Schizosaccharomyces pombe: one gene and its partner. The gene in region 1 interacts genetically with each later gene. Each region holds a gene or a part of one and is shown on either strand. Other genes may lie near its edges. The genes, in order: SPOM_SPBC15C4.06C and hop1.

Region 1 (18,255 bases):
CCAACGAGTAGAGAGGGAATTGACGAGGCCATGGAAGACAATTACAGCAGCCATAACCCCTACAATATGTTGATTGGTAGGGATGTATTTCAAATCTGTAGATATGGATACAGCAGCTAACAGCAATTGAGCACAAGACCAATCTGTACTACTGACACCAGCTGCTTGGCCCAACAAGTTCAACCAACCGACGACCCAGGCGACAACGGGCATTGATCTGGCAGGAACTAGGTCCTTGCAAGTAAAATATAAACCACCGGATGTTGGGTAAGCAGAAACTAGCTCGGCAACGGATAGAGCGATACACATACAACCAGCACCAGCAATTAACCAACACCAAACAGCTGATGGAGCACCTCCTGAAATCAAGGGATATGAATATGTTGTGACGACAGTAGCGAAAAGCCCAGAAATTGAAAAAGCAAAAGAAAAAGTGGCCCAGGTAGAAAATTCTCTTTTAAAGACAGGTTTGTAGCCCAATTCAAGAAGTTGGTTGTCTTCATCGTTGCTGACTTCGAAATCGGTTTCAGAATGGGAAACATGTTTTAAGGATTTTAAATTACTAAAACCTTCTTCCTTGTCATTGAACTTTCCTTGTTCATTAACGCTTACGTTAGAAACCGAATCCATACTATAATTTATTTATCCACTTTAACGTTCAAATATGCTTATCAAAAATTCGACGTATTTTCCTTTTTCACCTTTTTTTACTAAAAAACCGAAAAACAAAACAAACAAACAAAAATGTAAAAAGTCAAAGTTTCTTCGCAAAAGAAGAGATTATATACGACTTTCAATTTCACCCTTTGGACGACTCCAAATTGATTTAAAGAAAAAGAAATTTGCTCTAAAAAGAAAAAATCTCTTCTGAAATAATCGCTATATCTCAAATTGACCTATATATGAGACTTTTTATTTCAAGGTGAAAATATTGGCGGAGACTGGCATGAGATTTTTCTATCTGTCGTTAAAGCAATTTTGGCTACCACGTGCGCGAATTATCAACAAATTTTTTATATACTCTTTTAGCAAGATTCTTTAGTTTGTTATCTGCTTCGTAGAATGCGTAGGCAAACACTTCAATTATTCATTGTTTTGGCAACACATTTGCATTAATGAAATACCTAACTAGTTATGCCAATTAGTCTGCTAAACCATTTTTTGTTTCTCTCGGGTACCAGATATTCGCTACAGATGCATAACTCGGACTCTATCTCTTTAAATTTTAACTTTTTAGACAACTTTGGCCTACGAAGAATCGTTCACGATTGTTGAAAAAAGTTGTTGGAAGTTAATATTACGTTGAGCATATTTGATTTGGAGGTGGAACAGAACAACTGGAATTTTTGAAAAACTAAGTATATAAAAATACATGTGATAGTGTGAAATTTTGTTTAAATAGGTTTGAAAAGTGTTTGGGCAGCATTGACAAGTTTGGTCCTTTAAAAGCTTTAAATTGAGTACAACCACAAACACTTCTTTGATAAAAAAAGAGAAGCCAAAAGCATCACATTTCGCTGAAGTGTCCTTTTCTATAGTTCGTTGGAAATGATTATCCTAATGGAACAATATGTATTAATTTGCAATTATTTTTATAATATTCGCTGGCATCATGAAGTAATATCAGTTTTGAAGGCGCTCCATGTAAATTTTATACCCAGCAAAAACCTTGAAGTCCAAATATTCATACATTAAGTATTTACGGAAGCTTTTCTATTACTATTCTTCAAAAAAATCTATACATTTTTGAAAGATCATCAAATATTTATGAATATATCTATGTATATTTCAAAGACTTTCAAATTACTCAATAAATTGTCAAAAGCCGCTTAAATAAGCTTAAATTTTAACGATCAAATGAGAACGCTGAAATTATTTAAAATAATATTATTATAATACATCTCAAATAAGCACTCTGGCAACAATCCCAATGTTCAATGGTACTAAAAATTTAAGCATGTATAAACAATAATTCAAGCTGTACTATCTAATTATGTTGTAATAGCTAAACATTGAGTTTACTCTAACACAGGAGTTTAGGGAAGCTAGTTTTACGGATTGTATTGCCCTAGAAAAAAGTACTAAATTTGAACAGTATAGGCGACTGAGTCGGGATTTTCATTTACCATTGGGAAATATTTTTTTGGAAAAAGCTTAACTAGTTTTGGAAAATAACAGGCGGTAAAAAATGCCATGTATATGTAGTCCTCGGAGGAATATGAAATCAAATTTTTAATAAATCGGTACTTCACTAACAACGTTAGAGAACCTGTTTAAATGTATTTGCTTTAATGCCGTTCTTTCATACTTTACCCATTCGTAACTTACATATAGCCTTTTTATGGATTGCAGCCCATAATTCAATTTTAATCTTGATTATTGGTTGTATAAGATACTTTAATAATTAATTTAATCTCTTTTTTTTATTTTTCTTTTCCCCAATACTTCGAAATTTAATTATATATTGAGTATATTGGTATCCAGTTATATATACACTTTCTCTCTACAACCCACAAGAGAATATTACAAAATATTGTACTCAGCGATTCCCTATTACTATTTATTCGTGGATATTATTTGTTGGACAGAAAAAAAAAAGCAAAAACCTGATAAATCAGCTTATTTCTAAACCATCTGATCGCTTTGTATTATATTTTTATTAAATGAAAATTTATCATTCCTTGTTTCTGGTTTAAAACTCTTTTCTTTTCAAGAGTAAATAATTTTCGATGTCCAATATAGTTTTATTTTAACTGTTATTATTATTACTTTTTTGGCTCATTGTTATTCTAACCTGTGAAGAATATTTTAACCACGAACTGTGAACATTTTCTATTAGACTCTGATTTTTTTGTTTTAAAGACCGATTTAAAAACCGTTTTTGTTCTAAATAATGGCTAAAAAAAAATCAAAAGCTTCGAACTCTGCTCGTGGGTATGCCACTACATCCATTCCATCTCGAAGTGCCTCCTCTCCGGCAAATAAAAATCAGGTTAAAGGAGAGAAAAATAATAAAACCCAAAAGGTTGAGCCCAAAAATGCTTTCAAAGTTGAGAATCAATCAAATGATATAGGGGTTGACACCGTTGATGCATTTGACCATCTCCTACTAGACAAAACGCTTCCAACTATTGATGCCGAAACTGAAGTCATAAAAAATACCTCTTTATCAAACTCAAAGTCATTTTTACATTCTTGGCAAACGGATATAAGACTTCGTAAAAATGACAACGTCCTTGGCTTGACCGAAGATGAAATTCAACAAATTTTGAAAACATTTCGGGACTCTTGGAAATCTTCTCTAAAAGAAAGTTATGCTTTCTCAAATCGATCCAGTTTTTCTCTGAGGAAACGGTATCTTTGGACTACATTTCTTTCACTTAAAGGTATGGGGTTTGAAGAATCAGAAATATTTGGCGCCTTCTCATCTATCCCTATAGTTTCGATAGATGAATATATCACTTGGATGATAACAGAGAATTTAATCAATTCTGAACCTTCTAATTCATCTTTTTCTTACGAAGTGCAACCTAGTAATTACACTACTTTTTGTAGGATGCTCGATGAACCGTTACCTGCCAATAATCCGGTTCAATCAAATAGTAGACTTGTCCCATTAATGAAGGATTTTTCTAACGATATAAAGCACACACCTAATAAAGAAACTCAGCCCTCTAATCAAGTCGATGATTCATTGAAATCTAAGGATTCAAAGCCACTCACAATGTCAGAGGTACTTACCCAATTGCCTGAAGATGACATTCCATTTGATGATCCTTTTGACTTGACTTCTCAATATGTTAAAGTTAAGCTGAAAATGTTACGACTACAAATTGCCAATAAAAAAAATTCAGAAGAATTTAGTACACTGAATTTGCAACTAGAAAGCATTACTAGCCAATATCTTTTTTCGTCTAAAGAGGCAGAAATTGTGTTTCGTAAAAGCAGAATCGAGTTTATGAACAAGTTAAAAGCTCTCCAACAAAAATTAGAAAACGAGAGAATTGTAGAAGAAATAAAAAAAAATGGCATCCAAGAAGATTCTCAAAGCACTGATGACTCCAGTAAAGATGATGATAATAATTCTGAAAGCAATGATATGTCACCACACAACGATGCAGAAACTAGAGCGGATGACGATGCTTACCTTATGGGAGATTTATTTAATCAAGAAGAAGAAGACATTCAGGATACTGAAAATGATTTACTTAATGCAAACTACACACTTCTTCCTTTAACTACCGATAAATCTGGAACACGTCCAAGTACTACGTTGCAATATGAGCTTCACAAAATCGGATCAAACATTAAAGCAGAGTTCAAAACTATGCCAATCGGCAAAATAGGATATCAGTCCACCTGTTTTGTTAGATGTTCTACCGGCCAGAAGACTTTTTCCGACCTGAAAACTGTTTTGCCTACTGCCACATTGGCTGCAGATTATATTTCAATGATAGTTTTATTTAGATTAATGGCCAATTTTACTAAAATTTCGTTACAAACGTTTCCAAAATCGTTTAAAGAGGTTTATGGAAAGTTTTCTGCAGAAAAACAAAACACTGACTTAGCAGAAGATGCAAAGATTTCCGAGAAGTTGGATTCCATTATAAAGAGCAAAGAATTGGAGACCCCAACAAGCGCTACCACTTCTAAACTCATGGCCCCTATGGATAATATTGGCAAGTTTTCTGGATTTGAAAGGCCACCTGAGACTTTACTAAACAAATGGCGACAACAACTTGAAAGTGAATCAGCCGAAAAATTTAAGGTTTTCCGTAATCAGTTGCCAGCTACGATGTTTAGAGAGACAATTATTGATGCTGTCAATAATAGTCAACTCTTAATTATATCAGGAGACACAGGTTGCGGTAAAAGTACGCAAATTCCTGCTTTTCTGTTGGAAAATTCTACAAAAAATGGAAAAGCAGTCAAAATTTATGTTACAGAACCTCGAAGGATCAGTGCCATATCGTTAGCTAATCGTGTTTCTCAGGAACTTGGCGGCAATCCTCCTTCAGCTCGTTCGCATGAGCTTGTTGGTTATTCTGTTCGTCTGGATTCCAAATGTACGCCTTTAACACCTTTAACTTATGTTACTACAGGTACATTTCTGCGTCTCCTAGAAGTTGGAAACGAAATAGAGTCTGTGACTCATCTGATTATTGATGAAGTTCATGAGCGCAGCATTGACTCGGATCTTCTTTTAATTCATGTACTTCATTTACTTAAACAACATCCTCATCTTAAGATTATAATTATGAGTGCAACTTTAAACGCCGAAAAGTTTCAGTTATACTTTGAAGGAAGTAATTTAATCACAATACCTGGTAAAACATATCCAGTGCATAGATTTTATTTAGAAGATATACTTTCCCAGTTTGGAAATGATAAGTCGTTCGGTAACGCTGCCGGACAGGATGTTATAGAGGAAGATGACTATGAAACCGACCAACAAGATGCGAGCATCTCAAACAAATCTGCGGAGGATGCCATTGTTGAAATGAACCTAATTCCAGCTTGGTATAACGAGAAAGCCATTAACTATGGTTTAATCGTTTATCTCTTAAAGTATATATTCACTGAAGGAGATCCGAAATTCAGTAAGTGTGTATTAGTATTCTTACCTGGTATTTCGGAGATCCTTCGTGTAAAATCTCTTATCGAAGATATGCCTATGTTTCGAAATCATCGTAAGTTCTGTATATACATGCTACACTCTACACTATCCTCTGCGCAGCAACAGTCCGTTTTTAACATCCCTCCCAAAGGGTGCCGCAAGATTGTATTGTCGACAAATATCGCTGAAACTGGTGTTACTATTCCAGATGTCACTTGTGTGATTGATACAGGAGTACATAGGGAAATGCGTTATAATAGTAGAAGACATCTTTCTCGGTTAACTGATACATTTGTATCTAAGGCCAATGCCAAGCAACGTAGTGGACGTGCTGGTCGTGTTCAGGAAGGTATCTGCTATCATTTGTTCTCAAAATTCAAACATGATACCCAATTTTTGTCTTACCAGACACCTGAAATTCTGAGACTTAATCTGCAAGAAGTTGTTTTGCGAGTAAAGATGTGCCAAATGGGTGATGTACAAGATGTCTTAGGCAAGGCGTTAGATCCACCTTCCTCTACCAATATTATTCGTGCTTTAGAAAAGCTTCATCAAGTGGGAGCGCTCTCTGAAAACGAAAAATTAACAAAACTCGGCAAATTTTTGTCGCAATTACCTGTTGATGCAAATTTAGGAAAAATCTTGGTTTTGGGATGCTTCTACAAATGTGTAGATGCCGCTTCTTCAATAGTAGCCATGTTAACAATCGGTTCACCTTTTAGGAAATCTGTTGACAATGAATTTTCTGCAAACAAAGCCCGATTATCATTCGCTAAGGAGAATACCAGGAGTGATTTAGTTTTGATGTATTATGCTTACTGCGCTTGGCGAGAGATTTGCCTTTCACCTTTAGGCCCTGATGAAGATTCTTTTGCCAAAGAAAAGTACTTAAATTTAGAGGCTTTAAGTATGACAGAATCACTAAAAATCCAACTGCTTTCTGAGTTGAAGGATATGAAACTTTTAGGCGCTTCGGATGTTGATACTTGCAAAAGCCTAAAACGTTCAATATGCCGGCGTTTTGCCGTTATCCCCAAAGAGCATGATATTAACTCAGGAAATGCAGAAATTCTGTGTGGCGTAATTGCTGCATCTCTGTATCCAAACATTTTAAGGTATGATTACGAAAAAAGACAGTGGTCAACCTTGAGTACCAACAAGCGTGTTAGAATTTTAGATGTATCGGTGAATAATAGGTCTGAGTTACCTAACATGCCGTCCAAATTCGTTGCTTACACGAACATGATGTCTTCCACTCGAGCTAGTGAGTATGTTAATGAAACTACTATGGTTACTCTTCGCCAGCTTCTAATGATGTGCGGCCTTAAAGTCGAAAATAGAGTATCAGTTGGACAAGCAAAGCTTGACAACTTTACAGTATATTTTGAAAATGTTTACGTTTCGGCATCTTTAAGTATTTTACGTCGCTTTATTGAAACTTCTCTAAACGAATTTTTTGCTGAACCTGATAAACGCTTATTGAATTCCCATCTTGAGGTTATTGTTAACATAGTTTCACGGTTAAATTACGGAACCAAATTTCAGAAACGTCTCAAAGATTAATGAAAGTATCAAAAATGAAATATCAGAAAGTTGGTTTTCACATATCTGCTTAATGACAGGCAAATTTTCTTTCCATTTGGAAAATGTAAGAATTATGTTGGTTGAGCATAAATGTGTAAAATGGAGTTATCTAAGGCTTCATTGCAGAAACTGATGGCTTTTCTATTTTATGAGACACAATTCAGAGTATTTAATTTTCTCAAATCCAAAAATGTCAATTATTATAACTGTATATCGTTTTCTTAGAATATCAAAATAGGTCTCTAAATGAAAAGAAAAAAATATTTACATATGCAATTTAGCATTAGACCGGCTAATTTGTAAAATACTTAATAGTTTTTTTGTACCTTCATCATAAACTAGCAAGCAACATGTGTATTAAACTTTTTATAGTAAACAATGACATGTATAGTAAGCTTTTATATAGTACTATAGAATTCATACGATAACACAAATAATAGATTAGAACGATGAGAAATAGATAATTAGCCCATTAAAAGATGCAAGAAAATTATGAACTTAAGGAAGCGTAAGTTTTCTTCGTCGTAGGAAGAACTGAACAATAAGTATGAGTATGCGTATGCGTATAAAGACAAGCAAAATATTATAACGTAAATGAATGAGAGTCGAACAAAATATGCTAATATAGATTATAAAAAAAATTATCCTTATGAGTAGAAGTACAGGAATTACTCAACCAATGGAGAAAATTCATAAATATGCAGTTTAAACATTGTCCTCGGAAGCATTTTCCAACATGTTTGTAACTGACTGTTTACATAGGGGACAAAGATCCGAATTTTTTAATAAATAAGGATCAATGCAAGCCGGATGAAAGATGTGATGGCATGGCAGTTCTCGATAAAGAGGACTTTCTTCTGAATACTCACACAAGCAAATAGTACACTCCCTCTGATCGAAATACTTACTCCCTCTTTCGGCTGTAGTAACCACATTTCCCTGTCCATCAAAACTTTCTGATTTGTCTAATTTCCAATCCTTTTCATAAACCAACTCATCATTAGGATTGGCAAGATGAGGCCCCGAAAACATTCTAACGGGCAAAGTATCGAGCATTTCTTTAGTAACACGATTTTCTGGTTTGTTTGGTCCAATATTCACAATTCTTTCTTGAACAGGAATTCCATGACGATTTAAGAGTCTATAAAATCCATTCATTGCACCAGAAAAGTGAAGGCAAATAAAAAGGCCTATGACACCGATTAAACCCAATAACACACCAATGAATATATAGAGGCCAAGTAGCTTTGGTTCCTTGCTGATGATAACGCCCAAACGGGCCGTAGCATCAATGTTTCCAAAATATTCGACTAATGCTCCACCATCCTGCACCGAATTTAAAGAAGAAGCCGAGTATTCGTTGAGAATCTTTTCAAAAGCGATGCCGTTTTCGTAAGATATGAGTGCCATTGGTAATGTTTCAAAGGTAATCATATCTACAGCATCTTCAAAGTGGTCAAAATTGGTTAATGAATTACTAGCAGTGCTTGCATTATAAAATAGTATTGCCTTTGCTCTATCCTGGACAGCCTGCAATACATGCATTGGAGCACAATAGTCAAACGGCGCGAATGCGATTAAGCCAGAACTTCCCATATTAGAAACATCTCTAAACCATACGCTTCCCTTGGTATCAACTTGAAGTGACTCGGTGTCATTGCAGCTACCATAAGGAGTAGTTTTATATATAATTCCACGAAAATTATTCTTCAGTTTAGACAAGCTTTTGTAATACTCATTCAAAAGGACCGTGTTGTCAGAGTGGAAGTAAAATGAGACATTTTTTGGAAGATTTGAAACAACATTCTTGTTGTTTTTAACAATAAGAGTAGTTATGGTTAGCGGAAAGAACTGATTGTATTCGACAGCATTCATAATAATAGATGAATTTCCGTAATATGAAAGACCAGAGCTAACATAATTAGATATTGCAGTATTTGGAGCATTGCTGGAATAAGCAGGGTAATAATCATCATACAAGGAGATTGAACCAGAAGTAGAGGACGACCTTGCAGAACTAGTACTAGAATCTGAATAAGATTTGGGATTTGATTCACTGGAAACAGAATCCGAGTCTGATTCACTAGAACTGGACATAGAATCTGATTCATCATGACTAGATCTTGAAGAAGAAGTGTGTTCACTAGCATGCCCACTAGTATGGCCTCTTCTTAATGATCTAAATGAATAAGAGATTGGAGTTGGCGAGATACTTTCGTCCTTTGGCATTCGATATCGCCTTCTTTCATTCCATAGTTTACGAATTGCATTAAACAGCCGCTTTCTCCTCTTTACCTTATTCTCTTGTGAAACATAGCCTCTGTAAACTGCATTGCAATCCAGATGATCAAGCAACTGGTTATTACACAGATGCATAAGAACCTAAACAAACTTTAAGGCACGAAGAAACACAAAGAACTAGGAAACAGGAGGTTTCAAGATTACCAAAAAACAAACCTGCTTTGATACCAATCTTTCTAAATAATGAATCAAATTTAATGGTAATTGAAAGGTAAGCTTTCAATCAATAAACAGACGTTGAGTGGTGATATCTCTAAAGCAGGAATTGTGGAACACAATTAATGAAATTTTTTAAAGGAAATTTCAAAAAATTAGAAAGTAAAAAGTGTGATTCTTTTAACTTATACTAGCTCAAGCTTGAAAACCACAAATTGGTGGTGGCTAAGTAATGAACATCTTGAGACATATTGCGTACATAGTACACAATACATGTGATATACATGTGGAAAGCAATTGTTATTATATTTTCACTATGAGCAGTATACTTCAGTGAAGAAGTTTTTTAATGAAGGAAAAACTATGAAACAAACAAAGCATAAAGTGCAGGGCGAGAAAAACAATCGTGAAATAAAACAGCTTATTTGTGTTTGGTGATTCGACAAGCGCTTTAAACAGGTGTGAGAAACTAAATAATAATAAATGGTAATTATAAGAAATAAAAAAACGAAGAAGTGATACTTCAAAAAGGTAAGCATAGCTGGAGAATTAATGATCAGAGAGAACTATAATAAATAAATAAAAAAAGGATCGCTTAGCGATCAATTAAACAATAAGATATCCTCCTTAAACATAAGAAGCAATTTACTAGGAATACGTTATAGGATTTAATGTTGTTTGAGTATACTTTGTAAACTAGTATAAGGATATAATTATTGTGATATGCTACCTCGTAATTTAGTATAATTTTATGGAGTTCGTTTAGTACAGCGGTTACATATTTGTTTAAGAAGGCTAAGATATAATATACTATATAATTTTATATTTTACTGTATTAACTTACAACTGAACTAGGAAAGGGTAGTTTGTTCGGTTGAGATATTTCTTCAATAATTGTATTTTCCTAAAGATGTTTTACTCGTCCTGATCATTAAAGATCAGTAGTATGGATCCGACAGTTTTGAAATGAAAATAACAATAATTAGTAGTGATATCTAATGTAGCTTTGATCTGGCTTAGCAATACATTATTGGTAAAGTATGGGGAAATGGATTATGTAGTTTGTTATGAGAAATAAAAAATGTGCACCAAATTAATCTCAAATATCCTTTCTTTGCGTAGTAAATTTTTTTATTTGTTTTAAACACATATTAACTGGAAGTCATGTTTGCGCAAACTTTAAAATGCTCATCTCAGCAAATGAATAACATTGTAGTTTGAGAATAATAATTACTTTTGAATACATATGTTCAAGTCCAAGAAGGCTGCCATTCAACTCTAAACTGAACATTTGCTTATAGAAGCAAAAATTGTAGTAGATACCAACTTCGCTCCGAACTCTATATAATACCGATTTTAAACAACACTTTTTACCAGAAGTTAATTAATCTTATATATTAATTTCTATTATTCAACTAGCATTATTCCAAGAATTGGAATTATTTACTTTTCGATCTTAGCCCTTATATACGTAAATAACAATGCTACTTTACCACGAATACAGAATATAGTCCACCTCCACCATCCCTATTTTAGTTGGCCTAGTGGTTTCTTGAAACACTGGATTAAAGTATTAAAAGTTAAGTCCATAAGCTAGGGAAATAAATTTCCTATTATTTCCAATAAGTCGAACGATAAATCAAGGAACCACGGATTTGAATCAAGTTGCAGAAAGACATTCTTTGCTTTACAACATCGGTCAAATAAAGAAAGAATGAGTGACATTAACAATAATGAGCCAGCTGAAAATATTGAACAGCCCAAGCAAGAACCAGAAGATGGAAATAATTCGATGAGTGTTGATGAACAACCCGAAACGTCTTCCACAAATCTGCCAACTGGTGACAATCTCGCCCCAATGAGTGTAGAATCCCCTGCACATTTAAATAACGAGGATTCTCCCAAAAGCGATGATTCTAGAGAAAGGCATGGCTCGAATTATGTTATAGAACCGCATTTAGAATTGCGAGATATGGCCAAAGACAAAACACTTGAAAATTTCTTGGCCCAAATGGATGATTACTCTCCCTTAATTCCAGATGTGTTATTGGATTATTACCTCAGTTTATCTGGATTTAAATGTGTTGACCCACGCTTAAAAAAGCTTCTTGGTCTTACAGCTCAAAAATTTATTTCTGATGTTGCTCAAGACGCCTATCAATATTCTAAAATCCGAACCGGTAGTAGCAATGCATCTTCAACTACGTTTGGTGCGCAGAATTTTGGAGCCGGAGGCGCTTCCGGGATTGGATCTAGCGGAAGAAGAGGTGACCGTGGAAAAACCGTGCTCACTGTAGATGACTTAAGTGCCGCTCTTAATGAATATGGAATTAATTTGAAAAGGCCCGATTTCTTCCGTTAAAGACTTTTTATCCCACTAAGGCCACTTGTGTGAGACCCTTACTTAATGCATTAGTGGAACTTTGTTTCTGAAATCTCATTTTCCTATAAAATTTTTGTTTACTAATTGTTGTTAATTCTAACCTTTTACACTTTTTTGAAATTATTATGTATTTTGAAGATAGCACATTCGGTTTGGCGTGGCATTGTTGATGATCATAATTTCAAAACATTTTCTCATATCGATCCATTTCAGCAGTAGTTTTCATATGAGGGATTATTTATCTTTATATTTTATAAAATTTATCATATGTATCATAGTTACTATTTTCTCGCTATCACTTGCTGAATTTGTTTTACACTGATACTCTCATTCAACATTGATGTAGTAAATGTTTTCTTCGTTATGCTACTATCTGCATTTTGAAAAGCACTTCTGAAAGTGTCAATTACGCGGTCGACAGCTGCCTCATAGTATGTCAGAACCTAACATGCTTCTAATTATAATATGCATTGTATATAAAGTAAAAATTAATATAATTACAGTTACCAGTACTCTTTCAAATAATGTAATGCTTGAAACCTTAAACAAATACAGACTTCTCAAGAAAAATCACTGCCTTCATCTGGCAAAGGAAGATTATCAGTTCCTACAAGCAAACATCTTGTTTTGATTGTAGGAAGGAAAGTACTTGGTATTCCTCTTTTAATTAAGTCTAATATTACCCAAAATTAAATAAATTGATTATAATAAATTATAGTTTATCCTATTCAAAGGATCCATTCTGTTTATTTAAACATTATAGCGCTGATAGTTCAAAAGTAAATGGTAACGTTGGTAGGACGCGCTTGACATTCTGTGTTGAAAATGGAAATACCATTAGAGGTAGAATTTGCCCGAATCGGTGAATTCAAATAAGCCTGTAACTCGCAAAGTCCATCAGAAGTTCCACTAGGTCCATACCCACAATCGATAAGGGGATAAACTTGCTGGTTGACGAGATGCCGTACATAATATTTGCTGTCAGAACAAAAGAACAACTCAGTAATTAAATTTCCAGCGAAGGGAACGAATGAAGAAGTTTTCTGGGAGTATGTATAAATGTTTTTATCAGTCGGCAAAGGATTTTGCGGAGTAATGTCAGGAAAGAATCCCAAAGCAGCTTCCACAGGAATGATATTAGAATCATGAGTAAATGCTAAAAATACTTTACGATCGAAGTCGGGATTAGTCACATTACGAAGTGAGTCTGCAAGATTATTTATATAGGCCCCACCTAAGGTTGAAGCCCATTCGGAAACAGGACCACCTCCATATGCCTGATCGAGATCTGAGTCATATTCAAAGTTCAAAAATTCTGATGGGGTAAATATGGAACAAAAATCACTGTGATCTTTTATAGCAATTTCATATTCGCAGATATAAAAGAGACTACGAACGTCATTGATCGTAAGTTTATAACTGCTGTCAAAATATTTAGCCAAACGATTCACAATGGGCTCAATAAAAATATTGCGCCATACAGCATGGGCAGCATCAGTTGCATTTTTATGAAAGTTATTATCTTTAAACACGGGACATGCGTTGTACATGGATAAGGAGTTGGCACCTGCTGCCTTACCTTCAGAAATAAGGATAAAATTGGTTTTTTCGTACATTTTATCACCAAATAATCCATAAGTAAACCATTTTGCAGATTCAACAACACGTTCCTGTTCAGCCGTATTTATGTCGTAAACGTATGAATCAAAAAGTTTATAGTAACGCTGGTATAGCTGACGACCCAAGTCGAAAAGTTCGAGACGACCACGGCTGGAAAGTTGATCGGCATTTTCTGCATCTATTACAGGAGTCCACTGCTTAATAAAACATAAGGGATTCTCGGGGTAGCTGAAGTTTACGGGTATTGAGCCGTTTAAAAGCTTTTCCTGAAAATTATTTAAATATTGTGAACTATATACATCAGTGGCAGTTACATCGCCCGTTGGGTTTCTGGAACCGTGACGTTGAAGAAGATGAACTTGTTGGATCTCACAGGTTTCAGGGAAAGCAGAATCAAGACCATCAAAGTAGGGCTCATGATAAGGACTTAATGTTCCGAGATGTTCCTTGAAGAAAAAATTGCTTTCATAATCCTCAAACTGAACATTATCGGCATTGACGATGAACGCAGCTAAGAACCAGAGAGAAATGATACACAACTGCATCACGAAAATATATCAGCCAAACGAGTAAAAGGCCTTCTTAATTATTCGATTAGTAAAGCAGAGCTTTTGAGGAAGAAAAATTAAAGGATCAAAGTAAGAAATTGATTAAAACGAGTGACAGTCCATTCAACCAACAAACTGCTGGTCAATTGAGGTTAGGAGCGACTTTGAAGGATTAATTGAAAGGTAACCATTAAAAGATACAACGTAATGGTCCTATACGTGTAATTCGTGTATCTGCCAACAAAAGCTGGTAGCTTCCACTAAATTGAAATCTGCTGCCGATGCCGTTCCAGTGAAAACGTAAAACATCATGGCAGACGCGAACTGTTAATGTACGTTACAGTCAATACGGATACAAATAACGAGTTTCGACTAAACATTTTAACACGTATAAGAATTTCGATGTTAAAGTTATTTATAGATGTGCATGAGCGCGGTATTTCCTCCTGAAGCATATTATCTTATAAAGAAACATATATATTGCGCTTATTGTTATTCTTATACGCAAAGTATCTATTAATATTTTTAAATACAAATTAGGTCAATAAAGTCCGACTGAAGGAGTAATTTATGTTTTTAACAGTGCTTCTCTAGGTTTAATATTACTTAAATCACCTATAGCTGTAAAAAGGTAATAAATGACCTTTTGGAAGAATACTTGAATGCGTCTCAAGTATTTAACGCGGTCTAGTATAGCATAGCGTAATGGAGTACAATTAACTAAACTAAGCACGGTGGAAGCACAAGTTTTCAAATTTTCATCAACTGTAAGCAAATGGCGGACGAACCATTGCTTCTCAATTTTGTTGTTGATAATGCTCAATCAAGAAAGCCTGAAGCCTTGAAGTCTAGTCGTCGCTGGACTGATCGCGCTAGAGATAGAAAAAGGCAAAAACGCAATTCTAATGAATCATCAAAATCAACCGTTAAAAGAAATTCAGGCACAAATGGTGCTTCCACTGATTATAAAAATTCACAAAAGGAAAAAGTAATAAATCCTGTGTTTGATCCTAGAAAACCAGCTCATGAGCTAAAAGGCAACAAGCGCGATAATACTTTTGTTACATCTTTGTTTACGGGTGATGATTCTGAGCATTTTTCACAGGACGTTGGTCAAAATCTTGAGGATAATCAAATTAGTAATATTGGGACTACAAAGGAGGCATCCAACGCACCTATTAAAACTACCAACTTTGCTGGTGTTCAATTAGATACTCAACTGGCTGATCATTTAAATAATAAAATGAACATTAGCGCTCCCACTGCTATCCAAAGCTGTTGTCTTCCAGCATTGCTAAACACAGATGATAAGGATGCGTTCATTGAAGCACAAACCGGATCGGGTAAAACTTTGGCTTATTTACTACCAATTGTGCAACGATTGATTCGACTTCCTAAAAACTTACACACCCGTACTAGCGGTATATATGCTGTGATTATGGCTCCAACCCGGGAGTTATGCCAACAAATTTATAACGTTGCTAACAAGCTCAACAATAATCCGTTATCACACTGGATTGTCTCCTGTAATGTGATAGGTGGTGAGAAGAAAAAAAGTGAAAAGGCTCGCATACGAAAGGGTGTTAATATTTTAATTGGAACGCCTGGTCGTTTGGCGGATCATTTAGAAAATACGGAAGCACTGGATGTTAGTCAAGTACGATGGGTCGTTTTGGATGAAGGTGATAGGTTGATGGATATGGGGTTTGAAGAAACTTTGACTAAAATTTTATCTTATTTGGAATCACAAAGCAGTATTATTAAGAAGGATCTCAGTATTCCTTCTCGTAAGGTTACAATGCTTTGCTCCGCTACAATGAAAGATACCGTAAAGCGTTTAAGTGATTCCGCTTTAAAAGATGCTTTGTACTTAAAATCATCTATTGTGGAGGAAACCAATGACGGTTATAGCCAGGCACCCGAGCAGCTTCTTCAAAGATATGTTGTTGTTCCTCCAAAACTGAGGCTTGTAAGCTTGGTTGCCCTATTGCGAAGTCATGTTAGATCATATAAGAAAATAATAATTTTTCTTTCTTGTTCAGATAGTGTTGATTTTCACTTTGAAGCTTTTAGATGTGCGATAAACGCTGATGAAATGGAAGAGGCCGTGAAAGAGAAACCGGACTCTGAGGGTGATATCATTTCAAATGCTCCAGCTCTGAGAATAGATGGCAAATCAAATGTATACCGATTACACGGTTCCTTGTCTCAACAAATCAGGACTTCGACGCTGAATCTTTTTTCTTCAAGTGAAGATTCTGGTTCACATATACTTTTGTGTACAGATGTGGCAGCCCGTGGTCTTGATCTGCCAAATGTTGATTTGGTTGTGCAGTATGATGCTCCGTTTAGTACCGACGATTATTTGCATAGAATTGGCAGAACAGCTAGGGCTGGACACAATGGTGCAGCTATTATGTTTTTACTCCCGAAGGAAAGTGAATATATTAATTTGTTAAAGTCTTCAGTTAGCGCTAATATATTGGAGCAGCCTAATGGTCCATCTGGGTTGTTGAGTGCTGGTTTTTCGCAAGGTAAAACAAACACCAATGATTGGCAAGATCGTGCAACAGAATGGCAGTTGGAATTGGAGCGTTTTATATTAGAAAATGAACCTATGAGGAATATTGCAAAAAGGGCTTTTACTTCTTATGTGAGGGCTTATGCAACACATCTTTCATCAGAAAGAAGTATTTTTAACATGCGTGACCTTCATTTGGGACATATTGCTAAGTCCTTCGCTTTGCGAGAAGCGCCGGGCAAAATATCTGGTGCAAATTCTTCAAAGCCAAGAAAGCAGGGTGGTTCGGTTGATAAAGGTAAAAGTAAATCATCGAAAGACATTGCTGCTTTGATGCACAGAAAAGCAATGGAACATTATTCAACGGAACACAATATAGGATAAACATTATTTGTGTAAAATTTAAGGTTCAAACGGTTTTTGGTTGGCATTTGTATATATTTATATAATTTAATTTCGATCTTTTAAACGCAATAACAATCTTTCGAAGATAAAATCTCTTGCAAGTGATTATGGAGAAGTTAAGTTATCATTTCTAAACAAGTATTGAGAGGAATTATGAATGGCGTGCCATGGTAATGCTTGGCAATTGTATCTGCTATACAGGTTATGTATAACAGCTGAGATATATCAAACACCACATAATATTACTATTGCTGCTTATGTAGTAGTCTTGCACCATTGCGTTATGTGATAACTCAATTTCAAGGACTCACTATCCCTTATCCAAATAATATTTGTAATGTCAGTTGTGGAGCTACTATTTTAAATTATTAAAAGATTCAAGACAAAAAATAAAAAAGTTAGGAATAGCCTACAGCACCCCGGATTCCCATGTTGTCTCCAACCATAGTACTAACGAGGCCCTCAGACGCTTAACTGCAGTGATCGGACGGGAACTGGTGTTTTCGCCTAGGTATGGCCGTAGACGTTTGTACCTAACGATAATTCTTTTTAAAATTAAACAAACAATTAGAAAATAATGAAATCCAAGCATCAAAATTTAAAGATTTGATCAAGAAAAAACTGCTATAGGAGGTTCCTAATATTAAGTTTGAACTACTGATTAAATTATTTAATAGTAGCATCACATACTATTCCCTATAATCCTTTAATAGTGTCAGAATAATGCTCTCAGCAAACCCGTAGTAATTGAAAGAAATTTGTTGCATATTTACCAGTGAAATTGAGCTAACATTTCACATAACGTTTAGTAGATTCAATATAACTATATATATATTTTTTTCGATTACCGAAATACTTCCTTTGACAAAATCGTGTTAACAGAACTAAAAATGAGGAGAGATAGGCTGGTAAAAAGAGCAATCGAATTTCATTGAATGTGTTAAATACTTAAAATAAATTTAACTATTTGCAAAATTTATTCTTTATGAAGTTTCTGCATGGACTCGTATTAACCAACAAATGTTTGAAGTTAAGTCTAAGTTTCACACTCACAATTAAAGCAGGATTGAGCTGAACCAAGACGAACAGCAACAAATTAAGAATTGGGATTTTTTAACAA
Region 2 (12,156 bases), 1.2 Mb from region 1:
TCATAAGCCAGAAATGGCAGTTGCATTGACAGAATTCGACGCTCTTTGTGGTTTTCGACCAGTAAAGCAAATCGAACAGTTCCTTGACAGTATAGCTCCTTTGCGTGAATTTGTCGGTGAAGAAGCTGTTCGTCAATTTAAAGGTACCGTGAAGCAAGACGAGAGAAAAGCATTGGAAACTTTATTTAATGAGTTAATGCACAAAGACGAAAAAAGGATTCAAGAATTTACTCCTCAGCTTGTTCAACTAGCAAAAAGTGATGCTAACAACTTTGGTGGAACGGAATACGGCGGAAAAGCATTTAGCGATTTAATTATTCATCTCAATAGTCAATTTCCGGATGACATCGGATTATTTGTTACTCCTTTTCTTAACTACGTTCGATTACATCCAGGAGAAGCCGTTTTTCTTCGTGCCTTAGATCCACATGCTTATGTTTCTGGAAATATAATTGAGTGCATGGCTGCCAGTGATAACGTTATCCGTCTTGGCTTTACGCCAAAGTTTAAGGACATAGAAACTCTCGTAAATAATCTCACTTATCAGACTGCGGATGCCAAATCCCAACTTACCCAACCTGTACCATTTGCCAAAGCTTGTGGATCTGGCAAAACTCTGTTATATGATCCCCCGATCGAAGAGTTTAGCATTTTGCAAACCAAGGTTTCTCCTGGTCAAAAACAATGCATACGCGGAATCAATGGCCCTAGCATTTTACTTGTTACTGAGGGTTCAGGCATATTGAATGGAGACAAAGGAGATGTAGCATCGATATCTCCTGGATTTGTTTATTTTATTTCCGCAAATTTTCCATTAACGATCTCTGCGACTTCAGAACCTGTTGTCGTTTACCAGGCATTCTGTGAGATTTAGTTACTCTGCAGCTTTTTACTACTATCAGCACCATTATAATAAAACAATACATGGAATTTTTAAATTTTTAACGATACTGGATAGGATGGACAAAATTAAGTAAAAACAAATTTATTTTTTCGTAGATGCAATGCATAAATAATGAGCGTTTTTAAGAAATGTAACAAAATGTAGAGAAGAAATATAGACAAAAAAATGAAATGAAGAAGATGAACCCCAAAAATAAAATAAAAAATGAATCCAGAAGAAAAATGAAAAAAATGAAAAAAATAAAAAAAATGAAACCAGAAAAAAAATGCGAAAACTAATCAACAACGAAATAAAGCATAAAAATGGGAATGACAAAAGTAAAACGAATGCAAAAATAATTCTAATAAACAAATTTTTTTGACCAAGCATCCACTTTTAACACGCAATTTAGTACAACTCAAAGTAGGCATTGCCTCCGGTGACAGAGACTGTACAACCACTGCTGTCAGCGGTGGAACCATGGAATGATCCGTCTTCATAGTAGCAATCACCACTAAGGGACCCACCATCAGATTTAATACGGATATTGTAATCAAGTTTAGCAGATGATAAAGGATTGAAAGACATAGAAAGCCAAGTCTTGCCGTCAGTGTAACCAGACCCGAAGTTCATAGGAGCCCAATTGCCATAATCATCGCCCTCATTACCCCAAACACAGACATCTTCTGCACTTCTGCCAGATTTATTAACATAGTATTGAGCGGATGTCTTCTTTCCTCCCCAATTATAGTATGAATCTTCATCAACATCAGAAAGAGGTTGTTTTGAACCACCATCAATATTGGTAGGGATATTCATGTTCTCAGTTCCGGGGTAATCGGTACGGCAAATTGCGACATTGGAACTCAATGTATTTTTAACATAGGCAGTACCCTTTCCATCTTCACAAAGATTAGAATTATCCTTCTGGGTGAGATATAATTTACCGTTCTTGCAATACAAACCACCAACGGAAACGCCATTGTCAGGCTGCTCAGACGGCCATTGGGTCTTAGACATTCCGGGCTTGCATGCATAGGAACAGTATGTGTTATCTTGGCATGTAGAAGCTGTTCCGTATTTACCATCATTCTTCTGAACACCAGACCATCCTCCAAAACCTAAGTAATCAAGGCGGACAACGCCATTTTGATCATCAGGAAAAGAGGAGCAGTCGTATACGCCGTCAGGAAAACCACCGTCTCTTTTTGAAAAAGCGGTAGTGTTTGTGACATTGACACCAACAGTTATATTGCTAGCATTCAAACCGGCATGATGGTGATGGTGATAGGGAGCATTACCAAGAGGCATAGCTGAAACCAAAGGAATGGCGGAAACCGCAAAACAAAGAAAGTTGTTAAAGAGCATTTTTAGATTTAAAAGATTTGACAGGAATCTAACGATTGACTTTATAAACGATAGGATATGCTAGTAACTTGATACTAGAAAATAAAAGAAAGATGGTAAAGAATATAATGGTCTTTACCTTTTGCGGTTCTGATTGTTTAATTTCAGCTCACGGCTTTTCCCTAAAAATCAGCTCAGCTTTATATACATTTCTTTTTTCAAGCACTTCACCATCTTTTGATTAAGAGCCGTGGCGTTTTGCCACTAATTAACCATGAAAGCCTGTAAGTTTTCAACGTTGATTTTTTCAGAAAATTTCTAACCATAAACCCGAAATAATTAGCGCCAAAACAGTCAACTATTGCGCTCCAATCATTGCTTGCCTTGCTATCGGCTTTGTATTCATTGGCTGATAACTTAATTAAAAATGAACTTAAAAGTCAGTTGATAAATTCAACCAATTAAATGCGTGAATTTGATCTACCCCAGGAAAATTTATACTGTCCCGGGGTCGCGGGGCGTTCAATCATTCATTTCAAAGCAAATTATTATTATTTCCAAGCCAAGTAATTTAATTTTTGTTTATCGCTTTAGCTTTCTTATCATAAGGAAGTTCTTGGTCCCCTGGGCCTTTTGCAATTGAATTGCGCGGTGTACGTAAGCCTAATGACATCCCTGTATACCTAACTTACAAATACGTTGGCTCGACTCAACGTTATATTGATTTTCTCCTAATACTATTAAATATATTTAATAATCTCTTGGGAAAGTAATCTGGTACATACAAATCATCCTAGATATAAGAGGCTCGGTGCATTTCGGCAAATGATGTTCTGCAGCTCATTAAATATGATATAATATTAATTAATTAATATCGTGTTTACACTCGGTTTATCGGTTTGCTATGCTAAGAACTTTTACGGATAACAATTTAATTATTTATCTTGGTAGCGTATTTGACGCTTCTTTGGATACTGAGATTAAGTCAAATTTTGAATGGAGAGAAGTCGAATAATAGCCCAATGCCTGCCGAAATTACCCGATGCATGTCATTGACGAGACAAAAAATTTCTTTCAACGGCCTAAGAAAATGATGTACTAGAAACGCCATCTTAGTCTGACATTTTACATTTTACGCTCATGCTCAAATTTTATTAATAAATTATTATATGTGTCCGTGTCATTTAGAATATGACAGGGGAGGGTAATCTCTTTCCCAACTTTATTGGCGTGTAATGAAATTCGCGAGCTACTATTGTGTCTGCATTCTTTAGCTGCAAAAACGCAACGGAAAAGACAATTTTATAATATGAATACTTCACGTGTTCATTGTTTTTGTCTTTAGAGAATTTATTTGAAAATGCTGAGGAGGTTAATATCTGGTATACAATTAAAACACTATCGCAAATAATGTAAAAAAAAATAATATTGAGGAGCCATAACTAAGTCATATAACTTTTCTTATTGAACTATTGTTATGTCGCGATTTAGTCGTATTTACCATAAACTATAAAAACTTTTCTTAATCAACAGTAAAATTGTTACTTATTCTGGTGTTACTTACACCTCCGCTTGCGTAGAGTGAATTTAAAATTCATTGCCAAGAGTTTATGGTCTTTACGATCTATCTCGCTGAACTTCAAAAAAACCAAGAAAAAGTATTGCTCTAATGCATTAAGACGATAACTATTTGCAAAATAATTTCATATACATGTTTCCCAACGGGCAGTTGTTTTAAGTAAATTCATCAGTATCGATTCTTGAACCAGGTTCTCTAACATCATAAAAGAACTTGACAAATACTTTTCTACTAAGTGTCTGTAAACTACTTGAAATGAATGAGAAGAAAAAAGATAGCCTATCTGTTTTAGATTCCAATGAATTTTTCGGTGAGACAACTATGGTATCACCGAGTATTGATGTTTCCTCTTCTCCCCGGCCAAATGTCGAGAGATTTTCTCCATGTTCCACTAAAAAAGATCTCCTGGAAGGAAATAATATAATGACCAGAATTCCCGAGGAGCTTAGTCGTGTTAGTCTACAATTTGATAGCAAGGGAAGTCAGCAATCGATGATATTTACTAACAATCGATGTTTATCTGATAAAGAAAATTTGGAAAACTTGCAAAATCTTTTATATCTACATTGTGATCTTAACCGGCCCCATTTGAGTTGTGAGCTGCCGTCAGAGCATCGCGAAAAGTGCCTTAAACGCCGTAACTCTAGTCTCAGCTCTAATTTGCATGCTAATAAGCGGTTTCTCTTCAATTCTCAAAGTGATGGGAATAAAAAGAATGAAACTTTTCCTTCTACTAACTACTCGAACGTTTTCTACCCAAACAACTGTGACAGTAAGGAAGTCGCTAGTGAAACAACATTCTCACTTGATGCACCAAATAATTCTGTTAATTACTCTTATTTTTCTCCTAATTTACTCGGCAACGATTCCAAAACCCGTCAATCTTTTCCCCCTCATTCATCTTCATCTTCACATAATTCTTTGCATGAACCTGTCATATATGATTTTTCTTCAGAAAATCCTAGCATTCATCCTTCTAATCATTTGAGCTCTCAAAAAAATGCTGTTTTGAAATTAGCACAATTAATTTCTTCCTTCGAAAAATTACCCGAAAGTGTTCGTCAATACTTACTTTTTCATCTTCTTTCTCGATGTGGAAAACATGCTGTTCAAAATATTCACAAAATTCTGCTTCCTATCTTTCAAAAGAACTTTTTAACTGGATTTCCGGCTGAGATTACAAATTTAGTGCTTACGCATTTAGATGCACCTTCATTGTGTGCAGTTTCGCAAGTTTCGCATCACTGGTATAAGTTGGTATCGTCCAACGAAGAACTTTGGAAAAGTCTCTTTTTAAAAGATGGTTTCTTTTGGGATTCAATTGATAGTAAAATCCGTACGATGTGTTTAGAACAATCTTTGTCAGCCTGTGCGATAATGAAGCGGGTCTATTTTAGACATTTTAATCTTCGTGAAAGATGGCTCCATGCCCCGGAGAAAATTAAGCGATGTTCATTCCCAATTCATGGAGTTCGTCTTATTACCAAACTTCAGTTTGATGATGACAAAATAATTGTTAGCACCTGCAGTCCTAGAATTAATATATATGACACGAAAACAGGTGTCCTGATACGCAGTTTAGAAGAGCATGAAGGTGATGTTTGGACTTTTGAATACGTTGGGGATACTTTGGTTACTGGCTCCACAGACAGGACAGTAAGAGTCTGGGACCTTAGAACCGGTGAATGTAAACAGGTGTTTTATGGACACACGTCAACAATCCGTTGTATCAAAATAGTTCAAGGCAATCAAAGTACTACTGATACTGATGATGTGGAAAAAGAAAACAGACCAGCTTCAAATGATGCTAATTCAATGCCTCCGTATATAATTTCAAGTTCAAGGGATTGTACGATCCGTTTATGGAGTCTTCCATGCCTTGACGATCCACCATTTGTTAATGTAAATGAAAATCCTGATCAGAATAATGACTTTACTTCAGCTACGACCAATCCGTTTTACATCCGAACATTACGTGGTCATACGGACTCGGTACGTGAAGTTGCTTGTCTTGGAGATTTGATTGTCAGTGCCAGTTATGATGGTACTCTTAGAGTATGGAAGGCATCTACTGGCGTTTGTTTACATGTTCTTCGGGGACACGTCGGGAGAGTATACAGTGTCACAATTAATCCTTCTCGTCAACAATGTATCAGCGCTGGTACGGATGCTAAAATTCGTATTTGGAACCTTGAGTCTGGAGAACTTCTACAGACCCTTCATGGTCATTCGAATTTGGTAAGTCAAGTTACATTTAACCAAAATATCTTGGTATCCGCTTCTGCTCCTCCTGATACATCGTTGAGAGTTTGGGATCTAAACACCGGAAGTTGTCGAGATATTTTAAAATGTCCTTTGGGACACATATTTTTTCAACACGACGAGAGCAAAGTTGTCAGTGGAAGCCATAGTACGCTACAGTTATGGGACATTCGTTCCGGAAAGTTAGTAAGAGACCTATTGACTGATTTGGATATAATCTGGCAAGTTGCTTATAATGAAAATGTATGTGTGGCTGCTGTTTTAAGAAATAACCGTTTTTGGATCGAGGTCCTAGAGTTTGGATCTACTAAATCTTCTTGAGCTTTTATAAGTTGAGATACTAGAAATCTATAAAAGATCTCGAAATTTTATTTTACGTTTCCAAACTGAAATAGATTCATGCTATTTATTCTGGAAACTCCTCTATCATATAATATTTGTCTAATTGTTTGTTGACTTTTAAATGTTTACTCATAATTTTCTTTTTTAAATATCTAATAAGAATGCAAAATAATATTTTTTTAAATGATCTATTCTACATTTATAAATTATTTAGTGTTAAATTCGTTTGTTGAGGCCAAAATTTTTTTACCAAAGGGATAAGCGAATTTCTTGAATCCTTAGCTTCAAATAGCGTCCATTCTACCCAAAAGCGTACTATATTTTTATAATTAGCAAACTATAGTAAATAAAAAAACAAACATTTTAGCTTTGTAAATGTAAAAAGACATTTAATTTAACAAAAGGCTTTTACATTACTTCATAAGCTACCAAATGTCTTCATCGTAAAACATGCTTTTCGCATTCCATTTATCTATGTAAGCCATTTTAGTGTAGTTTAAAGTGTTGGAAAACCACAGGTGGGACTGTAATATACGTACACTTAAGACGCGTTCGACGCGTTCACAAAATTACCATATATAGATATCAACTTATCAAATACCCTTTACTTCTAAGTATAAATGACAAATGAATTCATACAAAGAGGAAATTCTGCAAACTAAGTCTGACTTTACTCTTAAAAATTTAATTTTCTTCGCGATATCAACATTATGCTATAAGCGGTACGCAGACATATAATTTTTAAATTAAAATAGCTAACAGAAGGCAAGTGCTCTTTTCAATGAAAACTGCTACAAGAAAGTCAATTTCGAAATTGAACATTTTAAAGGAGCTGACTTTGATTGTCAATTGAAACCTACTGTGGTTTCTTTACAAGCTGGAGTGGACAAAGAAGCAGACAGTTTTTTGGAAATGATGGTGAGTGTTTAAAACTTATCTAAAGAAATAAACTAATATTTTAGAAAACTTATATTTTCTCACTTGTATCAATGAAAGTTCCATTTACTGTTTACCTGATTATTTCGTCACAATGCAAGTCAATATTAGAGGATGACGCGGTTGAAAAGGAGATATTTTCATTTACAATTAACCCTGGAAGTGAAGAGAAAATATGTTGTGAGTCTTTTGTTTGTAAATTTTTTAACAGACTTCATGAGAGTTTTATCAAGCTTATCAACGTTCAGAAAGGTTTGTAATAAAGTTATTTTTAAGTGGTAACGTAAAAACAGAGTGCAAAGACGAAGAAAAAGTCGTACAAATTATTACAAAAATGGAACGCTTTCAATTATCAAAAGGAGAAGCAACTAAAGCTGGCGTGTTTTTAAATACCGTAGAAACAAAAGATTGCATGTCTTGGCTCAATCGAGGAGAATTCAAAGATATTGTATCTTTTTATGAATCAAACAATGGGTAAGTAAATTAAAACAAATTTCAAGTTACTAATCTATAGTATTGCGATTTCACATTGTTCTCATGCATTTGTACCGATAAGTACAGAGAAGATCATGATTAATAAAGAATCATCATTATTTGATTCTCAAGAAAAAATTGATTCTCAGCTCGAAAAGTTCCTCCAGCCTTTGAAATACGATGAAATAGGCTCAACTCAAATATTGGATGAACAATCAGTTGAAAAAAGTTTGAGTCAAGGAAAATGTGAGAAAATGCAGAATGAAAGTCGTGGATTAAGGGAAATAAAAAATAACAATCCTTGTGAAGAAGTAAAGAAAAGCAATTGGTTAAAAAAAAACATTTCAGGGAGTGACAAAGTTGACAAAGCCGAAAAGAAAAAAGCACTTTTGAATTGTGAATGCGGTGATTCGACGGAAGACTCAGAAATGGTGTGTAATCGTTTATACCTGCTAAAGACTAACAATATTTTACACAGTTTCAATGCGAAAGATGTGATGGATGGGTTCACTGTGCTTGCTATGGATTTGAGAGTGACTCTGATCCTCGCCAACCAAACCAATTGTTATGTTATACATGTTTGTTAGTTGATTCTGAATCTAGTTTGTATGACCGAATGACCATGTTGGTCGCATACAGACGAGCAATTCGGTGTATTTGGGCGTCAGAGTATCAAGGGTTCCAAAAGCTAGCGGCGCGACTGAGTAAGGAAATTTACCAACTCATTGACCATATACTAACATTATCTAAGATTGCAGCTATGCTGATGCCAAAAGAATTGAAGAAAGATTAGTTAACGAAAACATAATCTATAAGGAAAAAAAACGAAAATGGATATATTTTACGAATAAAAGCCCTGAAATGGTGTCATATCTTCGTGAGAAGTATTTTACACCGTCGCGATGGATATCTCATCTGAATTTTCAAAATTATCGTCAAGAGAATCAACGTGTAAATATGCGATCTTTTCTACGGCCCGAAAGAATGGAAGTAATAGAAAGACCAAAAAAGGTTTCTAAGACTTCAAACACTAAAGAGACAGACACCATGAAACCTCTGAGGATTTAAACTTATACGACTTATCCTATCTTCAAACAATTTGAGATGGATCAGTATTGCATCTATTTGCTCAAACTATTAATTTAAACTTACATAATATATTTATTATTAGCTATACTACATTATTACCATAAATAACATGTTCTGTTATCATCCGTTAGATATGAGACAATATTCATACAAACTCATTTTCTTGTCGTAGATAACTATGCTTACGACATTATAAATAGGCGGTAATTGAAATGAGGAATGAGGTTCAGTTATGAGCTTATACGAACATGAGATATGAATATAGACTTCATACAAGAATCATGCATACCACTATAAACTAGATCACAAGTAAATTTTATCGCAGTTCTACGCAGCGCTAAACGAATACGAAATTGCGTAGCTAATTTAAGCACTTCTTGAATTGCATTATGTGTGAATAGTGTGGTGATTTGATGTCAAAAAAAAAAAGTATAGAACGTTACACATTAGACTTGAACTTTTCCATTTGATACTGAAGTTACATTATTGCTGTGTTCGTGAGAACTTTGCATTATTCAGGAGAATTTTCGTTTTAAACATGGCGACAGAATGTCCACCTAAAATGATTTTGCGAAAGTCTGAAAAGCTAGACAAAGACGCGTCTAGTAAATTTCTCAATCGCTACATCCAAACGATTGAGCGCTTCCAAGATGAAAAATCTGGAAGTGAGAGTGTTCTATCCCAGTTAAATAGAGTCTTGATGTACCTGAAAGGAGAAGAGATACCGCTTATTTCTTTAAATTTACCTGTCCAAGGCCCTCCCACAGAGGAATTAATAATACCACCTGAAGAAATGTTGGAAACCAAGGAAGAGGAAAGTCTGAAACATGCAAGGGAAGAGAACGATGATTTGCATTTGGATAAAGAAACCAAAAAGCGTCTAAAAAAGGAAAAAAAGAAGGCTGCGAGACGGGAAAAGGAAGAGGCTCGTAAGGCCAAAGCGGATACGACTCAAGGTGTAGGGGAAAAAGAACAGAGTTAGAGTAAATTTAAAGGTGTGTTGATTATTTGTGGTTCAGTTATTTTGTTCGATTTCTAAAACATCATATGAGCTTTCGAATATAGTTTGCGCTTCATTAAAAAAATTGGGTTTTTTGGCTGCGATTATTTATTAAATCTTTTAAACGTGAGAGAAAAAATCCTAAGGTTTTTTTTGATCATGTGTTTGAGGACAACTACAATGCAACTTTTTTACTCGCAGTACTTGAGTTTGCATATTTTGTAAGTCCTTATCCATTCATTCTCAGTTGCAAGTATCAGATTATGCTTAAAGATTTTAAATTCATCATTAAATTCTTGTTTATCCCATAGTTTAATTGATTTTTTTTTTAATATAGGCTTTATTGTCGAAATTGTTGTCACAAATAATTGTTAAATAACAATTTAACAAAGATCATGGCGAGATCAATTACTAAACTCAATCTTTCAAATCAATACTCTGTGAATCCTAATATACTATTTCTTTCACATCACATCTTTAATGTTTCTACTAATACTGATTTATGTCGATTGATATTAACATGTATATCTTAGTGACTTATAACTATCTAATGAAACAACGCGTTGCCTTATACAACTTCAGCGTACTATATAGTGAGACCTACTTTTTTACGTAGACCTTATTAGAATTACCCAGGAGGCCCCTCCCAAACACTCACGATTATTTTACTAGTATCGTTTAATCTTACTTGAAACCCTGAAGACGGGTTCGTTCACTCAATTATAATGCAACATACCTTTATTTATGATACGTGCTTATGGATTTTATCAAGTAAGTTACTTATCATTTAGTTACAACCGGAACGCTAATTAATGAACCCCAGTTTTAATCGATTTCTTTTTCCGTGAAGTTAAAACGCGAGGCTCTTTTAGAGTTCCTCGCAAGGGACCTCTAATTTTAGTGGCCGCGCCGCATGCGAACCAATTCGTAGATCCTTTGATTTTGATGTTACAACTTCGTAGAGAAGTAGGTAGGAGGACTTCCATTTTGGTTGCTGCTAAAAGTTATCGTCAAAGATTTATTGGCCTCATGTCGAGAGCTTTTGGTGCAATTCCTGTCGAAAGGGCGCAAGATTTAGCTATTCGCGGAGAAGGAAAGATATTTGTCGTAGCTGAAGGTGATAAGACTGCTATTCACGGAAAAGATACTCTGTTTACAAAGCATTCAGTCGGTGATACTCTCCTTCTTCCTAATAATTATGGAAGTTCTCATATAGCATCCATTAAAAGTGATACCTTATTATATGTTAAACGTGAGTTTCGTGGAGAAGATGCTGAGAGAGTTTTGCTTTCTCCCGAAGGGTCGTCTTACAAGGTGGCTCCTGAGATTGATCAAACATATGTTTATAATGAAGTCCGTAGACGTCTGGTGAAGGGTGCATGCATTGCTCTATTCCCTGAAGGTGGATCTCACGATCGTCCTGAAATGCTACCGCTTAAAGCTGGCGTTGCAATTATGGCGTTGGAAACTCTTTCTCAGCATCCGGATTGTGGTCTTCAGCTTCTTCCCTGTGGAATGAATTATTTCCACCCCCATCGCTTTCGCTCACGTGCTGTGCTAGAGTTTGGCTCCCCACTGTCTATCCCTACGGAATATGTTGAGCTTTACAAAGCAAAGAAACGTCGCGAAGCTATTCAAGGAGTACTAGATATGATATATGATGCTCTTCTTTCTGTTACTGTTCAGGCGCCGGATTATGAAACTTTAATGGTCATTCAAGCTTGCCGACGTTTATATAAGCCAGCTCATATACAGTTTGCTCTCCCTAAAGTCGTTGATTTAAATAGGAAGTTAATTGTTGGCTATAACCATTTTAAACATGATCCCAGAGTAATTCGTCTCCACGATAAAATCCTTTTGTATAATCGTCAGCTATATCGTTTAGGATTACGTGATCATCAAGTTCAATCGTTACAATACTCAAGATTCATGATTTTGTACAAACTTGTTTATCGGTGTTGCAAACTATTCCTTCTTGCTTTAGGCGCACTTCCTGGTGCCATTTTGTTTTCCCCGGTGTTTATTGCCGCTCATCGGATCAGCGTCAAAAAAGCAGCTGCAGCCCTAAAAGCCTCTTCTGTTAAAATCCAGGGACGTGATATCTTAGCTACTTGGAAGTTGCTGGTTGCACTTGGTATGACACCAATCCTTTATTCTTTTTATGCATTGTTATGTTGCTATTATATATATTCCTATAAGCTCATTCCTCATTCAAGTATATTTGTTTATACTGTCCCAATTATT

Evidence for each region.
Region 2: mutations in SPOM_SPBC15C4.06C (region 1) and hop1 together harm fitness more than expected from each alone (negative genetic interaction), as found in Schizosaccharomyces pombe (2 studies listed by BioGRID).

Annotation. Positions count from the first base shown.
Region 1 is NC_003423.3:2,243,830-2,262,084, forward strand, and holds SPOM_SPBC15C4.06C (ubiquitin-protein ligase E3), read right to left. Parts: upstream 9,882-18,255; 5' UTR 9,578-9,881; coding exon 7,907-9,577; 3' UTR 7,582-7,906; downstream 1-7,581. Other genes in the region: SPOM_SPBC15C4.04C (amino-acid permease), read right to left, coding at 1-630; dhx29 (ATP-dependent RNA/DNA helicase), read left to right, coding at 2,894-7,180; SAGA complex/transcription factor TFIID complex subunit Taf10, read left to right, coding at 11,373-12,020; SPOM_SPBC21H7.03C (multiple inositol polyphosphate phosphatase), read right to left, coding at 12,815-14,206; ATP-dependent RNA helicase Dbp7, read left to right, coding at 14,985-17,114.
Region 2 is NC_003423.3:3,465,279-3,477,434, forward strand, and holds hop1 (synaptonemal complex-associated protein hop1), read left to right. Parts: upstream 1-7,040; coding exon 7,041-7,135; exon of another isoform or gene 7,136-7,183; coding exon 7,184-7,331; exon of another isoform or gene 7,332-7,375; coding exon 7,376-7,544; exon of another isoform or gene 7,545-7,582; coding exon 7,583-7,823; exon of another isoform or gene 7,824-7,863; coding exon 7,864-8,254; exon of another isoform or gene 8,255-8,301; coding exon 8,302-8,527; exon of another isoform or gene 8,528-8,574; coding exon 8,575-8,891; downstream 8,892-12,156. Other genes in the region: mpi1 (mannose-6-phosphate isomerase), read left to right, coding at 1-874; beta-glucosidase Psu2, read right to left, coding at 1,292-2,251; cullin 1 adaptor protein Pop1, read left to right, coding at 4,065-6,392; DNA-directed RNA polymerase I complex subunit Ker1, read left to right, coding at 9,451-9,894; sct1 (glycerol-3-phosphate O-acyltransferase), read left to right, coding at 10,638-10,683, 10,736-12,156. UniProt on the Schizosaccharomyces pombe protein: Facilitates initiation of meiotic recombination and DNA double-strand break (DSB) formation at DSB hotspot sites by enhancing the interaction between rec10 and rec15.